2 linked regions of the Yarrowia lipolytica genome follow. The main gene of each other region encodes a partner of the protein of the gene in region 2 in a complex. Links are inferred from orthologs where the notes say so. Each region holds a gene or a part of one and is shown on either strand. Other genes may lie near its edges.

What was found.
Region 1: the proteins of YALI1_D29699g (region 2) and YALI1_F21540g are in contact, whole or in part, in a crystal structure (PDB 6JPL), measured with the Saccharomyces cerevisiae proteins. The link is inferred for Yarrowia lipolytica from reciprocal best matches to the Saccharomyces cerevisiae genes RTT10 and TRM7. Residues at the interface, in NP_015142.1 of Saccharomyces cerevisiae: Leu11, Tyr47, Asn48, Lys49, His51, Ala66, Arg67, Ser91, Asp92, Trp93, Cys111, Tyr112, Lys114, Ser129, Leu130, Gly132, Glu133, Arg134, Ile136, Tyr138, Met158, Phe183, Arg223, Trp225, Ser273, Trp275, Asn291, Arg658, Glu685, Thr835; in NP_009617.3 of Saccharomyces cerevisiae: Leu84, Pro127, Asp128, Val129, Thr130, Gly131, Leu132, His133, Asp134, Leu135, Tyr138, Val139, Gln142, Arg167, Gly168, Arg169, Ile171, Asp172, Met173, Tyr175, Lys189, Arg191, Thr196, Leu198, Asn233, Lys234, Cys236, Asp239, Ser242, Glu246.

Annotation. Positions count from the first base shown.
Region 1 is NC_090775.1:2,150,299-2,157,431, forward strand, and holds YALI1_F21540g (uncharacterized protein), read right to left. Parts: upstream 3,734-7,133; coding exon 2,795-3,733; downstream 1-2,794. Other genes in the region: YALI1_F21504g (uncharacterized protein), read left to right, coding at 185-2,719; YALI1_F21547g (uncharacterized protein), read left to right, coding at 4,492-4,833; YALI1_F21567g (uncharacterized protein), read right to left, coding at 5,215-6,429.
Region 2 is NC_090773.1:2,965,185-2,974,180, forward strand, and holds YALI1_D29699g (uncharacterized protein), read right to left. Parts: upstream 4,690-8,996; coding exon 2,017-4,689; downstream 1-2,016. Other genes in the region: YALI1_D29668g (uncharacterized protein), read right to left, coding at 1-1,615; YALI1_D29703g (uncharacterized protein), read left to right, coding at 5,079-5,408; YALI1_D29728g (uncharacterized protein), read left to right, coding at 7,628-8,996.

The DNA of each region.
Region 1 (7,133 bases), on a different chromosome or scaffold from region 2:
CTTCTGTTGAGCGGGGTATCTTAGTCTCTCAGTGGACTGGCATGTTGTCTTTCGGAATCAGTTAATGAACCAACTTCGACACTAACATAATGATATCTACTAGATACTGGACAAAGAGCGCGGCTTCTGTAGCCTGCCAATGGACATAAATAGATGATAACGACTCATCCGATGTTCCTCAAGAATGATCTTCTCTCTGCAACTACTACTGACGACGGCACTAGCGGCCTCTTCGCCTGACTGGTACCCCACACCCGAAATCGGTTCAATTACCAGTGATTGGGCCGATGCTCTTGGTGAGTCCATGGACATCCTGGCCCAATTGACTCTTCCCGAAAAGGTCAACATCACCACCGGTACCGGATGGAGAGGTGGGCAGTGTGTTGGAAACACAGGGGCTGTTCCTCGTCTCGGAATCAAGGGCCTGTGTCTCCAAGACGGTCCTCTGGGCGTCCGTTTTGCCGACTTTGTCAATGTCTTCCCTTGCCAGAACGCAATGGCCGCCACCTTTGATCGTATCCTAGTTCACCAACGAGGAACCGCTATTGGACGTCAGTCTAGACTCAAGGGAGTCGATGTTCATCTCGGACCAGTGGTGGGACCTCTTGGACGACACGCTACCGGCGGAAGAAACTGGGAAGGTTTCTCCCCCGACCCATATCTGTCTGGAAAGCTCGCCTTCGAAGCAATTCTTGGAGTCCAGGAAGAGGGAGTTCTTGCAACCATCAAGCACTTCATTGGAAACGAACAAGAACATTACCGGCGAGCCGAAGAGTGGAGAGACGGCTTTGGATTTAAAGACCTGAAGGACGCCGTCTCTTCCAACATTGAAGACAGAGCTCTACATGAGTTGTACATGTGGCCGTTTGCCGATGCTGTTAGGGCTAATGTCGGCTCAGTCATGTGCTCCTACAACTACGTGAACGGAACCCAGGCTTGCCAGAACAGTGACTTGCTCAACGGAAAGCTCAAGTCCGAGCTCGGTTTCCAGGGCTTTGTCATGTCCGACTGGTTTGCTCAGGGAAGCGGAGTGTCTAACGCTCTGGCTGGAATGGACATGAGTATGCCTGGAAATGACGTTGATGAGTTAGAAACTGTCTTCTGGGGAGAACAGCTGACCCGAATGGTTGCCAACGGTACCCTTCCAGAAGCCCGTCTCGATGATATGGTTCTGCGAATTCTGACCCCTCTCATCTACTTTGGGATCGACGATCGAACACCCAACTTCTCCTCCTTTGTCGACACTACAGTGGGAAGTCCCCACCCCGCTGCTAAGCACTCCAAGAAAGTCAAGGATGTTATCACCAACTACCATCTCGATGTGCGAGACCAGTTTGCAGCCAATGTTGCTCTTGATAGTGCTCGAGGAGCTGTTGTTCTGCTTTTCAATGACGGTATTCTTCCCCTGAAGAACATTTCCGCTATTGGAGTATTTGGAGTCGGCTCTAGACTTGGCCCCAATGGAGCTGTTTGTGGGGAAAACATGCAGTGCTCAGACGGAGCTCTTATCGAAGGATGGGGAAGTGGAACTGCTTACCCTACGGAGTACGAAAGCCCTTACGAAGCTCTCCACAAAAAGGCTTCTCTACTTGAAGTGTCAGTGACAGGAACCACCGAGTCATGGGATATGAGACTTCCTCTTGAGCTGGCTGGAGACACTGACGTGAATATTGTTTATGTATTGGCAAATTCAGGAGAGTCTACTGCCAACGTTGATAAGAACCTTGGGGATCGCCGAAATGTCAGTCTATGGCACAATGGCGATGAACTTATTAATACAGTTGCCAGTCAGGGACAGACTGTCGTTGTTGTCACTACGGTTGGACAAGTTGACATGACCGCTTGGCTCAACCACCCCAACATCAGTGCCGTTCTTCTGACTGCTCCTGCTGGTGATTACGGAGGAAAAGCCATCGCTGATGTGTTATTTGGAGAGGTTAATCCCTCAGGAAAGCTGCCTTATACTATCGCAGCAAATACTTCTGATTATATTCCTATTGTCACCAAGATCCCTCGAGATGGAGCTCCCCAGTCCGACTTTGTGGAGGGAATCTATCTTGACTACAAGTGGTACGACAAGTTTGAAAGGACTCCCCTCTACGAATTTGGTTACGGTCTGTCATACACCACCTACTCCTTCAGCAATCTGCATCTTGATGTTAAGGAGATTAGTGAGTTCCTTCCTCCCCGGCCTGTTCCTGTACAGGTTACTAAACCCAAGATGACCAATATCGACATTGAGGACCTTTATGTCCCCAATGACTTTAAAATGATTGACGGTCTTGTTTACCCTTGGATTCTCAACGCCAGTGCGCCCCTCGCGGACTCTCAGACTCAGTTCCCCTTTGCAAATGGAGCTGGACATGTCAGTGACGCTTCTGGAGGAGTGGGTGGTCACCCCTGGCTTTGGTCTAACGCTGTTACTGTCACTCACAACACCACCAACTGCGGTGATGTTGCTGGACGAGTAGTTTCTCAGCTGTACGTTGCCTTCCCTGAAACCCTTATCGACTCTCCTCCGGTGCAGCTTCGAGGATTCGACAAGTCCAAGCTCCTGAACCCTGGTGAGTCTCAGATGACCGAGTACAACCTCAACTGGCGAGATCTGGCCATTTGGGACGTGGAACTGCAGAGCTGGAGAGTGCAGCGAGGCGAGTATTCCGTGTACATTGGTCATTCCAGCCGAGAATTCGAGCTATGTGAGACTTTCACTTTGTAGTAGTCAGTCACCCGTATTAACTAATCAATAAATCTATTATAAATGCATCCCAATCCTTCTCTTTTATATATCCCTCTAGTTCTTTCTCTTCATCTCGACCGCTCGCTTGTATGGTGGGCAAGTAGGGCTCTGAACGGGGTCCAAGCTGACTCGAACTCCCTCTCCACTAGGGAGAGTGTAAGTAGCGTCTGAGTCGTACTCCGACAGGTCGCCACAGGCCACAAAGGGAGCGACGACCCGCTCGGAAATAGGCAGAGGGAGCTCCTTGTTGACCATGACGCCAGTAGCGAGATCGGGAGACCATCCCGATCGAGGCTTGTATCCCTGACACACGATGAAAGACTCGAGAGAAGAGCCTCTGGAAGATCGGGGCTTTGCACAAGTGACCTGCTCGAACAACAGACCCAGCTGGAAGTACATGAGATCAATATCTCGTCCTCGGAAGATTTTGGCGACAAAGTTTCCTCCGGGTCTCAGTAGCTGGGTGGTCAGCTGAAGCGCAGACAGAATCAGCTGTGCCTGTGTGTACTCGTCGAGATCGTGCAGACCAGTGACATCGGGAGCTCCGTCAGAACACACAAAGTCGGCAGGCTCGCCTCCAAACTCGTCCAGAATCATCTTCAGAGTTTGAGGATGCGTGATATCGGCCTGGATAGTGGTGACACCAGCAATGGGAGCCATGGGTTGCAGATCAACAGACACAATCTTGGCCTTCTCCATGGTGGATGATTTTTGAGCAGTAGATTCCCCGGTGACAACCTTGCCTCCAAATGTCGACCCAGCCACCGTCTTACCGCTGCCAGCCTCGATACCTCGCTTCTCAAACAGCTCTCTGCTCAGCACCTGACTCCAGGACCCAGGAGCAGCACACAGATCCACAACTCGCTGAACACCGTCAAACAAGTGGAACTGCTGATCCAGCTGAAGCAGTTTGAAGGCGGATCGCGCTCGCCAGCCCTCCTCCTTGGCTTTTCGGTAGTAAATGTCTCTCTTGTCCTTGCTGCTTTTTCCCATTTCTGTCGAGTGTAGTCAGAGTGAAAAATAAAAAAGCTAATCTGAAAGTTTGATAGTGGTGGTGATGCGAAGGCGGGGGTCTACAATGTCTACAATAGTTGCATTTGACGCGGCTTTCTATAAAAAGAAGTGCAAACAGCTCTGTCTCTTTAAGTGCTCAACAATCGAGTCCATTTGTATTTTCAGCTAGTGCGTTTTTTTTTGCATTTCTGAGAGGTATTATTCTTACTAATCGAAGGTGGAAATCCAAACTGACTTTCTTATAATTTAGTTGATAATTAGTTAAGAAATTAAAAACTCTAATATGCACACTACAATGCCCTCGAAGAGTCTACAGACTGTATATTCTCCATCTTTATGGTCAGCCAAGTAACTAGTACACTACTTGGACATTTCTCATCTCATCATTACACCCTTGTCTGTCAAATTACGGGAGAGCATTTGTAATGATGCATGCATTTAGGTTCAGAGAGCGCAGTGCGGGGTGTTCAGAGATGGGTCCTAAAAGTGCGCTTTTAATCGACAATTTAGGAGATTTGGCCATTAATATTACTCAGCGGACCTTTCTGTATCATGTGACATCCATATTTCACCTCTGCAATGCTTACTAAGTCAACTAATTACTCTCCTTGTCCCCTCCGATATTTGCCCCCCGATAACCTACTTGTTCGGTTGGGACTACAACCTAAACCACCTTGAAACATCACCACTGCAAATTACTTTTTCCGCATCAAAAACTACACACACCCACACACACAATGCTGCGACAAATGATGAACTCCCGGCTCTTTGCCGCCCGACCCGCGTTTGTGCGACCCTTCTCCACTACTCAGATTGCGCGAAATGCCTCGTGGAGACGTCCAAACGAGCTGAACGACTACGAGAAGCAAATCAGCCAGATGCTGACCGACGAGTTCAAACCCGTGAGTCTGGATGTGCGGGACATTTCCGGCGGCTGCGGCTCCATGTTTGCCATCCAGATTGTGTCCGACAAGTTCAAGGGCATCCCCATGGTCAAGCAACATCGTCTGGTAAACGCTCTGCTTGCTGACGAGATCAAGCAGTGGCACGGTCTGCAGCTCGTCACCAAGGCTGCTTAGAGGAAGCGATAGGGATATGTGCATCAACAAAGAGATGTTAGACAAGAGCCTGTGAGCCTTGAGATGAGGATATGTATATAGTCAAGGAGACATTGGACGATATGAGAGTTGCTACTGAACCACCTGTGGCTAGAAGAGGAGGTAGGGGCAGTAAGTACATGCCAGTAGTGTTGTTGTATGGATATGTCGTTAATAAATGTTCTACCGGGAGTGTCTGTATCTTACTACAGAACAGTGTGATACACAGTTCTTTGCCACCTTGATGACATGAATGGCCTTTTGGAAAGCATATTAATGTAATGATTGCACACAATATGTACAGTTTGTAGCGTTACCCCCTTTTTATTTATTCCTTGTCATATCCCCCAGTTCGTCCTTCTCTTAAATGATGTCGTCGTCACTATCACTATCTTCTGCCTCCTCGCCGAGCTCCTGGAAACTGGCGTAACTGAGCATGATGAAGGCTCCAATGATGATAAGACCTCCAATCACGCCTCCAGTTCCAATAGGCGTGTCGAACAGAAGCCAGTCGACAATAGCCACCAGGAAGATGGTCAACAGGGCAGCGACCGATCCGATAACGGGAGAAGTCAGGGCCATGAGAATCAGAAAAGCACCTGAGAAGATGGCGTTGGACGCAATGTTGGCAATCATGATGCCGGCAGCTGATCCATGGGGCAGCTCAAACGGCTCCAGGCCGGTCCAGTGAAGGATGGGAAGCAGCAGCCACAGGAACAGCAGAGTACAGAGACCGATACAAAAGGCCACCACGTTGGCAAAGGCAGCCTGACGACGTGGGGAGATGGTGTTGGGAGGGCAAGCCAGCTTCTTGTACATGACTTCATAGAGACCATAGAGAATGGCTCCCACTCCGATAATGAGGTTTCCGATACCTCTGTGGGGGTAAGAGACCTCGCCTTCTCCCTCGTTAGTGTCCCAGTAAGACACAATGAGCACACCAATAATAGCGACCACCACACTGACCACCTTGGCAGGCTTGAGAGACTCTCCCAGCATCGGCACGGAAAAGGCATAGGCGAAGAAGGCCGAGCAGTTGTAGATGGCGGTCAGGTCACTGGGGGTGGTGAGGTTTACGGCAATGTACCAGGAGGATCCAGCGAAAGACAGGGCCACAAACAGCCAGAAAGATGTGACCATAATATACTTGAGCGGATGTTGACCGGAGAAGTCACCTGCGTGTTCTTGAGTGGCTCGGGCGGTGTTCAACACGAGCTCGTATTGCCGACGCAGAAAGACTCTCCATGGGGTCTTCCATCGCTTGAAGATCTTGATGAACAGCAGCTGTAATGGTAACAGAAAGACCCACGACGAATGTGTCAGGTACAGCATAAAGATGGGTTTCTTGTACTGCAGGTTATGAGCCACGTAGCCGGCTGTCTCGGTCTGAGCCACAAACGCGATCAAACTGACCACCAACGAGATTCCAGCATATAGATACCGTTTGTCGGGTTTGGTCTCGGACTTGAAGCTGTGAGAGGGACGTCGATGTTGAGAGGTCTCACGTGTGTCATAGTCGTGGACGTGGTCACGAGAGTCGCGTCCACCTTGCTCCAGAAATCCGTCTCGTTCGCTCATTTCGTTCTAGCAAGGGACTTATAGGCGAATTATCCAATTATCGGAGACCGAAGACGTTGCACGTTTCAGCATTCGACAGATGCTGCACTGCACGGAAACCCTAACCCGAAGGGTTTAATGTCGTGTCAAACGCGGCCTGGAAATCTCCTTTTTGGAGAGATTGGTCACGTGTATGATAAATAATTCCCACGTGATGCGGTGTATAGCAATGGTGTATCTTTTGGCAGGCCCTAGGTCTTATCTGGATTGGTCAAAGGTGCGGTTAAGCGAAAACTTTAAATCACGGGTTGTGCTGGAGTTTTAACTTCTGGGGGAGGACAACACAGGTTATGAGTTTGGGAAGGAGACGAACTACACGTGGGGACGTACAGTAACCGAGAAAGTCCTCCCTATGTTGGAGTCCTTTAACTTTATACTCTCGTGCATATTCATTTCACGTGACTTGAAGAATCATGACATTCTCGACTGTAGGTTACTTGCTTGTACTTGTATGTCCATTGTAGCTTGGGGGCTTTGGCTCGATATACCTGTGAGTGCGGTCACGTGACTTGTCAGGGGGTAGAAATAAATCTGCTGTACAAGTACAAGTACAATTGCCACCAGTATAGAGTCTTATTCCCGAACGAGACTGCTCCTTGGCTCTTAAAGGTTAGGACGGCTATGGAGAGCCCATTTAACCTGTTTAATGATGTCGACAGAAGGTC
Region 2 (8,996 bases):
GCACCTTGACCTCGTTTCCATACTTTCTCTTTTCGAGAATGAGCCTAGCAGCCGTTTTCAGGGCAATATCTAGCTTGTCGTACTGGTCGTCGCCGTCTGGTGCCTTGAAGTACTCCAAAAGTTGTCTGATGTACACTGGTTTGCTGACTGTCTTGTTCGAGGGGTCTTCATCGTCAGAATCCTCTCCTTCGTCATCAGAATCCTTCATGTGACTTCTGACATCAAACCCGAGCTTCTGGTACCTGCTTTGAGTGTTTGGCTTGGCACTTCTCTCACTCAACACATCTGAAAAGATGGACGGAGCCTCCGAGTCGGGAATGCTTACATCCGGATCAGCACCTTCAGCGTCAAACAGAAGCCTTAGTGAATTGTCAGCCATCTTGTCAACGGACAACCCAGACCAGTCTTCTGAAGACTCAATGCCGAAATTCAGAGGAACAGAGCCATATTGAGCGACTTTTTCACCAATCAAGATGCCGAAATCTCGAACCCGCGATGAAGGAGAAGATAAATGATTAGTAATGCCATCCAGAAATGCAGGAGTCGCAGTCAGCTGCTGCAAGAACGGTTTAGTCAGCAGAGACAGACTCACGAATAACACTTCTGTCTGATGACGTTGCAGGGCAACGGGCGATTTTGAAATGTTCAATTTCGACCCCCATAGACTGAAAAGACCCATGACCTGCTCCTGGAAAATCGACTGGTCACGTGATGCCGAGATTAGTAGAGACTTGACCATATTCAGGCTGTTGACGGTGCTTGTTTGTCGAAAGAGGTCAATGACTGGAATGTTCAGCTGTGTTAACAGCTCAGCCAGAGGAGCAATTTGAACATCGTCAGAAAATTCAGAAGTGAAGTAGTTCATGGAGAAACTGAGCAGTTGCTTCAATTGGAACGGTTTCGTGTAATTAGCGACCGTGACAAGTCGTTGAATGAATGCAGAAGAGTAGATGCAGGAACAGATGAAGTTGTTGTTAGTGTGCAATTTGAGGGCTGAAATGATAATTATACCGATTAGTTCGTGCGATGCCGTGTTGTCACGTGATATAATCACACCTCCTAGCCATTTCAAATATTGTTCAATGTTCCATTCGAATTCCACCAGACCATTGAAGAGACGCGATCCAGTTAGCAGAGACGAAATCTCCCTATTGTAGGCGGAACTCGATTCTTTCTGAAACTCCACGTATCCCAGATCCATGACCGATCCCAGGACTGTCTTCAAATTGTCCATTTTGGCCGCTGTATATTCATTGCTGTCGTTCTTCAAGAGTCGGATTGTAGCTATCAAAATGTTCAAGCCAGTGAGATTAGCAAAAAGAGGTGAAATGTGGTCTAGGTCAGGTAATGGGTTGCTCAAAAGGACGTTGAGAGCTTCTGTTTGTGTCCTCGTCCGCTCATCGGGCGATTGATGTAGATATGACTTGGTTGAAAGCTCGGCTATGAGTTGCTGTGGCGTAACCGATGGGATAGAGCTTGAGTCAAGTGTTTCATCGGTGCGATACGAGTCGATTGGCGTAATTTTGAGGTCATGTGAGTCGGTATTGCGCGTGGTTGAGATGGCTTCCATGATTTCTAGATGTTTGGCGAGATTGAGGGCTGATTTCTTATGCATGGTGAAATATAGGGTTAAGGTTTGTGACAATATTAAGAGGGTATGCTTTGGGGGTGTTATTAAGGCGCAGTTACAGGTAGTTCTCTTGGGTGTGTTCCTGCGATTTTGTTGATAAGATTACATTCTCATGTTTGTTAGCTACACCGTTCAGTTTGATTTCCTTTGAATCATTTCGATCGATAGAATATTGGCTGTTTTGAACATACTTGGATGAACTTAAGTATTATTGTTTAGGTTACTTGACAATTCTCTCATAGATAACCACATCCGATGTCATCAACCCTACAGGGAGTCCTATCCCATGCATTCTCAATTATTATACCATTCACACTAACAATTCCCAGTCAGGCGCCCCTGTTCTTCACAGGTTTGAAGGCCGGTCATCTTCCCTTGGCACAAGTTCACTCGGTCCAGTAATCTAAACCGGCTCCTCCAATCAACAAACCACCCTCGTAAGGACACACACATCCAGTATCAGCCACAGTGGTAAACTCATCCGACATTAGCTTGAGCTCTCCGTCAGAAAACTTCCACTTTCGGACATTCTGATCAACAGAGACAGAAACAATGTCAGCTTCTGATCCGTCCAACGGAGCCACCTCCGTGATGGTACTAGAGTGAGCAGAAGCGATGGATGCTATCTCTCTCAGCTCACCGTTCTTCAGCTCGGTCACCACAAGCTTGTTATCGTCTCCTCCAGAGAAGATTAGTTCGCCCTTTCTGCAGAACCTCACAGAGCTTTGATGGGCATAAATGTGGCTCTTGGGTCGCAGAGAAGGCAGCTCATAGACCGAAAGAGACCCGTCGGTGGCACTGATAAGCGCCGACTTGTCATCTTCGACAAGATCCACGTTCAGCAGGCAATGCTGAGTGTACTTGAGGTCTGACACGAGAGTAAAGGAGGAGTTGTCGTACTTCCACAGTCGGAGGGAAGAGTCCGAGTAGACGCAAAGGAGCTCAAATCCCCCGTCGCAGGCTTTGTAAACAAAGTCCATGATTCGCAGGTCGGGATTATCACCTCGAGGAAGAGACAGCCAGGGAGTGAGAGTCTTTTCGGAGGCATTAAACTTCCAGATGAAGAGTTCTTCTCGTGCAGACGACGAGATGAGCAACTCCGGACTCACCCACTTCAGGGTCTGGATACCGGACGTGTGTTTTCTGTATGTGAGGAGGTTGTGCAACTGGCCGTCCCGCACTTCGGACAGAATAACATTGGTGTCTTCAGCTCCTGAGGCAACTACGGAGCCGTTGACGTCAATGGCTCGCACCTCTCGACCGTGGGAGTAATATGACGAGACAGGGATGACGTTACTGGCGATTTCGCACATGATTGACTTTCGCACAAAGTTGAACAGCACTTTGTTGTCACCAAAAAGCACGTCCCAGCTTCGATGAGCTCCTCCACAGTCGGCAGCAAACAACTGGGCGTTGGCAGACTCGTCTGATATGACGAACGAGTTGGTTTTGAAACCACACGTGATGAGAGGAGACAGACACAGAATCTTGAAGATGCTGTTCTGGCTCGATTTGTTGAGCAGTGAAAACTGTTTAGTGCGAATATCCAGATTACCATAGAAGCCATTCTTAGTGGTGAGAGTCACGCGGATCTCGTCTGTAAAGAGCACGTCAGTGACGGTCTCTGCGTTGATGGCCTTTCTGAAAATCACAGGAGTTGCATCCACGGTGTCAAAGTAAGCAAGAGCTCCGAATCTGGATCCCATAACCACATTACCCTTCTCGTTTACGTCAAAACACGTGACTGGGAAGGTGTCCATAGCTTTGTACCGTTTCTGGGTGTCCGTACCCACCTCGAGTAGAACATTATCATCTTTATCGTTTTGAGAAGTAGCAATTAGGTACTTTGCACCGCTAAGATCACGTGTCAGCATACCAGACACCTTTCCTTCAAACACCTTGGTTTCCGAAACCTGCTTTGTTTCCGTGTTGATGACAAACACCTGTCCAAACCGACTTCCTACAGCCACGAAAGGAGACCCAGGCCATCCAGCCATTAGATTGAGAGACCTCAAAGCGTCGTTCTGGTAAATCAGGCTCCAGGTCACGTCATCGCTGCTTCTGTCGACTAGATAGACTTCTCCATTGGCAGTTCCAACGGCAGTTTTGGTAAAGGACAGGTTGATGAAGTTCTTGAAAGCACCAGAGTTTCCAATCACGTGATCGTAGTCATATTCGGTCAAGTGATCGATCTCCAAGTCGAATTCCCGCCATCGTCCGTCCCCCCCTCCGGTGATAAGGCTCTTGTCTAGAATGTCAAAACACCACATGTTCTTGCCCACGTGACCGGGAAACTGCTTGGCGGGCTCCAGCAGACCACGTGACTCGTTATGAGACCACAAAATCGCAGTCGAATCCTCGCTGCTGCTGACGTAATTGTTATCTCCGTAAAACCCAACCTGCCAGATTCGAGCCCCATGTCCGAAGCCTGAGCCGACCAATTTTCCGGCTTTCAAGTCAAACAGCTTGACGAACCGGTCGTCGGAACACGAGATGACGTAAGCAAAGTCTGGGGAGATCTTAACGTCGAAAATGGAGCCCTCATGGTCCGTGAAGTTGTGCATAATCTTTCCATTAGCCAGCTTCCAAATATAGATTCCATGTAGCACAGTTCCCGAGGCAACTAGCACAGATTCAGAGTCCTCTGTCACGTGAAGTGAACCGGAATACAGCAGAGAGTTTTCCGAGCACGTGACAATCTCCTTGATCTTGAGATCGCTGTCCAAAATCAACACCCTATTGTGAGCAGTCAGAACGTAGATAGTGTCATTGTCAGATCCAAACTTGGCATCACAAATCCAGTCGCCCACAGACCGCTCATCACGTGATGAGCACTCCAGATCGGTCACCAGAATCGAGTCTCCTCCAAAAACCAGCATTTTGCCCTTCTTCTGGTCAATATCAATGCCATGGATCTTGTTGCGTCCAAAAAGCCGTTGGCTCCACCATTTGTCCCCAGAAAGAGAATATTTCGTGATGGACCGGCCCTGTCCGGTGTAAAGGCAGTCACGTGATACAGCTTTCACCGCAGTGATTGCTCCGTAGTTCGTTTTAGTCATGTTGGCGAAATTTTGTATGGGGAAAAAAATCTTGGATTAACTTTGGGATGCAGATACGAGCGTAGCGAGGATGCTGAGTTTGAGATTACTAAGCAGTCGATTGAGGTGTTGATAGGGGGTCAGGATCTTGGTTGAAAGGGTTTCAATTGTGCATCTGACCAAGATGGGGATCTTTTCATTGAATAATTTCAGCTATTTGCCAATAGTTTTGAGTTAGTGACCCCATATGAGTATGAGTTTTTTAAAGTATTAAGTATTTTTGTTAGAACATAGTCTGTAATTACTTTACAAAAACGAAACCTTACTTAGCTTAGTTGGCACATGTCTCTAGACGGACTTTCCTAGACAGTCTAGTTCCCCGGAAACAGGAGATTTGGTCCAAGTTGGTGATGCGGAAGGCTGAGGGTCTGGAGCATCAGGAGAAGCATCAACAGGCCCTGGACCAATGGACGTTGCTGGTGAGCAAGGGATTCACCACGAAGCTTGTCATGGATGGTAAGCGACGATGCCAGATGATTTTAACCCCCAAGTCTGCTCCTAAGACTGCTCCTAAGACTGCAAAGCCTGCTGTTAGACCTACTGCCAAGCCTGTGTCGTCTGCACCCACTCCAGCAGGCAAGTACGAGAACCTTGATCGTGTACGGGCCAGCCATGCTAAGATCGCCAAGGAAGAGGCCCGAGAAAGCTGCTCTGGGCGATGTCGTTGCTGTCAAGATTGAGACGTGGCGATCCGGCAACGAGGACAACAAGTATATTATTTGGACTTATATCTACTTGTATGACCATTATGCCTCTATAGAGATATATACTGGTTTAGATATATGTATCTTGTCTCTATCGCTTAATAACTCCATTGCTTACTAGTAGTTGAAACTTGGACTATAATACCCAATGGAACTATTCTATCTCGACCTGACACTTGGCTTTAATGTCTGTCTTATCTTTATCACTGACGAACATCTTCCCTCTCTCAATTCAACACCATCTAACCATCCTAACAAAAGGAACTTCCTCTGTTTCGACTAGTAAGTACTAGTACAGGACTCATCTACACGATGTTTATTTCTAAGGATTACCATCTACCGTATACAAGTATGTATAGTAGTTGCCTGATAGTTTATCGTAGAGACACTTGACGCCAATTCTGTCGTCTCAATCTCCCCAAGTAGGCTAGAACAGCCCTACATTTCTGTAAAGTAATTTGGCATATGTATTCTGAAACAATGTCACATTCTGAAGTCCTTGCCAGAACTATTTACACTGTTGTTCATATGTGGCCTCCCACTTTGCCCGCATCGGCTTAGCCCCCTAAACCCGACCGACAGTACATGTTCGGCCCGACTGCCGGCAGCGTGCCACAAACTAATGGTGTATAACCAACAACGGCGATTAACGGCTGCTCCTGACGATCGAAATTTACGTAAGCATATGAGGTACAACCACGTTTCCGAGACCCTCCCCATGAGGCCGGTAATATTGGTTCAAGCCGATTGGCCGGCGGCTTCGTACTTTTACGAGTACACTGTATGGTACAGTATGTACATACGAGATAGGGCAGCAGAAAACAGGAGAACGTAAATAATCTAGGTGTCTACATGGAAAAAAAAAGAAAAGTTCCTAATAGGGGAGACCAAACGTGAACGGGCTGGTTTTCGAGCAGGAGACCCTGTGAACGAAAAGAAATCCTTTCGCGGACTCCGTGTGTGTATATCTCATCTGTGCCGTTTTCTAAAGAGCTTCTGTTGAGCCATCAAACCTCATTTGGAACAGACCCCGGGACACTGAGGATATCAGTCGTTTTTGAAGATATTCAAATTCCGAAAATCGCAATCAACTCCTTGAGGCAGCATTATTCGCCTTATCTGGTCAGTTTTCTACTAGATCCACTTGTCGATCCCCTGTAACCCATTTTTCTGCACTTTGGCTACATTGCCTGTTTAAGAACCACTGTGCATGTACACACTGTTCGGTGCGTCACTGGACAATGCTCCAGAGAAAAAGACCACACACGCACATACACACACACAACACCTTTTCTTTGAGAACAGTTGGAACCACAATTAGTAAGCAAATTGGATCTGAAATTAGATTCAGGTGACTGCGTCACGGTTGCTCTCTTGTTGCCGTTCCTGGAGGTCCGCTTCTCTCTGTCTTCTACGGCGGGCTGCTTACACCTGAAACCTTCACCCTGCATAACATACTTGTCTTGACAGCAGCGTTTAATACTGTCACGTGACGCCGTTTGGGCGGAGTCCGAACTTCAGTCTCCGTCGACTTCTTGGAGAAACGGGTCTGTTTCCCCTTCCCCTCATAATCGCGGCTATTTTCGGGGCCGATTTGCGATCACTCATCAAATAATAATAAGCTCTAGGTTATGTTGCCTTGAATGTGAAACAGCTGTTTGAGTTTCATTCCAAACGGCGGGCGTATTGGAGTTGTAAGTAAGCAGCTGTATGTGAATGTGACAGCGTGAGGCGGGGCGGAGAGAATGGTGTGTCACGTGACCGATCTGGCTCTGTCGGAGAGAAGAAGAAGAAGAAAAGGGGGCTGGGGGTGGGGGTTGGTGTTTTCACGTGACCTCTACTTGGGGACGTTCGCGTTTTTGGTCAGGTGACTTTCCCCGTGATTTTGCCCGCTGCCGAAATACGCCCGGTTATACTGTCACCTCGAATCTATAGAAGTCAAAATTAGGGTAACAGGTTATGATGTTTTGGGACCGTCTCCAGAAGCTGTTGTGGACCAGCTGCAGGCAAACCGACGGGGTCAATCGAATCTCCGCGTCTCCAGCTCTCGATTGATACCAGAAAATATACACACACTCTTATTAAATAGCCCTCCAAACTTCCCAACTAACCCGCAATACAGTTCCAGTAGACCCCACACTCCACCACATCAGCACCTCCATCTTGCACTCTTTCGCACAACATCGACTGCTCAAATGGACAAACCAAAACGCCGGCGAGTGCGCACGGGCTGTCTGACGTGTCGCGAGCGGCATCTCAAGTGCGACGAGGGAGTGCCGGACTGTGTCAACTGCATCAAGTCTCGCAAGGTGTGTCGACGAGGCATACGACTCAACTTCATTGATTGCAAGGTGGGAGACGCCTCTCACTATGAAGTTAGTGACAGCTGGCGGCCAAGGATCTTTGACGAGTCACGAGATATAGCGGCGGGCTACGACGGAGGCCTCGGGCTCTATGCCAGATACCCTACTCCTGTCAATGATGTTGACATGGATGATGTGGGAGGTTCTCAAGCTACACAAACGGGTGTGGCAACGACAAATCGACATGCGGGCGGACAGATTACACACACACTAGGCGCATCCATGCCCAACCCGCTACAGGCGTTTCGACCGCCCCAAATACACAAATATGCATATTCGTCCGCCAAAGGAATGACTCTCAACGACCCCACGACGCCGTCACGTGATCCAGACATGAGCGAACTGCTGCCCGTGTTTGTGGAGTATATTGCGCCAATGTTGGATTTGTTTTGTGGCTCGGAAATGTTTTCCAAGGTCGTTCCTGTGATTGCCTTGACTCAGCCGACCTTGCAGTACTCGGTCTTGTGTTGTGGAGCGGTCATTTTGGCGCACAAAAGCAAGACAGTTGAGGCTGAAAGACGAGCTGAGAAATACTTTCTACAGGCCACAAAGTCATTGTTAGGCGATATGACCTCTTCTCCCAAAGACCTGGAGTTGTGTGTCTTGTCCACAATTTGTCTATCGGTCTATGAACTGATTCAGGAGGTGTCTGAGGCCCGAGGAAGGCGTATTTCGGGCGTTAATCAAATGATTGAAGAGTTCCATTGGGTTGTTATGCCCACTGGACGGCCTGAAATGAACTCTCTGGTGGAAAAATGCTGTTTTTGGGCCAACATGATGATCGATTTCATCTTCTCGCGCCGAGTCGATTCAGGCCCGTTTCTGAACCCCCACAATTGGGGGTCAGTACACGATGTACATACCTTGCCCTCAAACACGCCCCCTGACGCTTGGTGGATGCATTCCATATTGCATCTATCTGCCTGTGCTAACTACTTTAGCCAGCAGTGCCACGTGCCTACTTATGACGAGTTTGTGCACAACCAGCGGTGGATCGAGTGGAAGAAGATTGTTTTGGATATCAAGAGATGGAAAGACAGACTGCCTAGTCGACTAGGAGCGATTGTGGATCTGAAACTGCCTTCCAATCAGTCACATTTTGACACAATTCTGTTTGCGTCTTCGTCAGCCATGTACGCAAACATTTGCTACCATGGAGCCTTGTTGCTCATGAACAAATGCAAGCCATACACTGCCTACC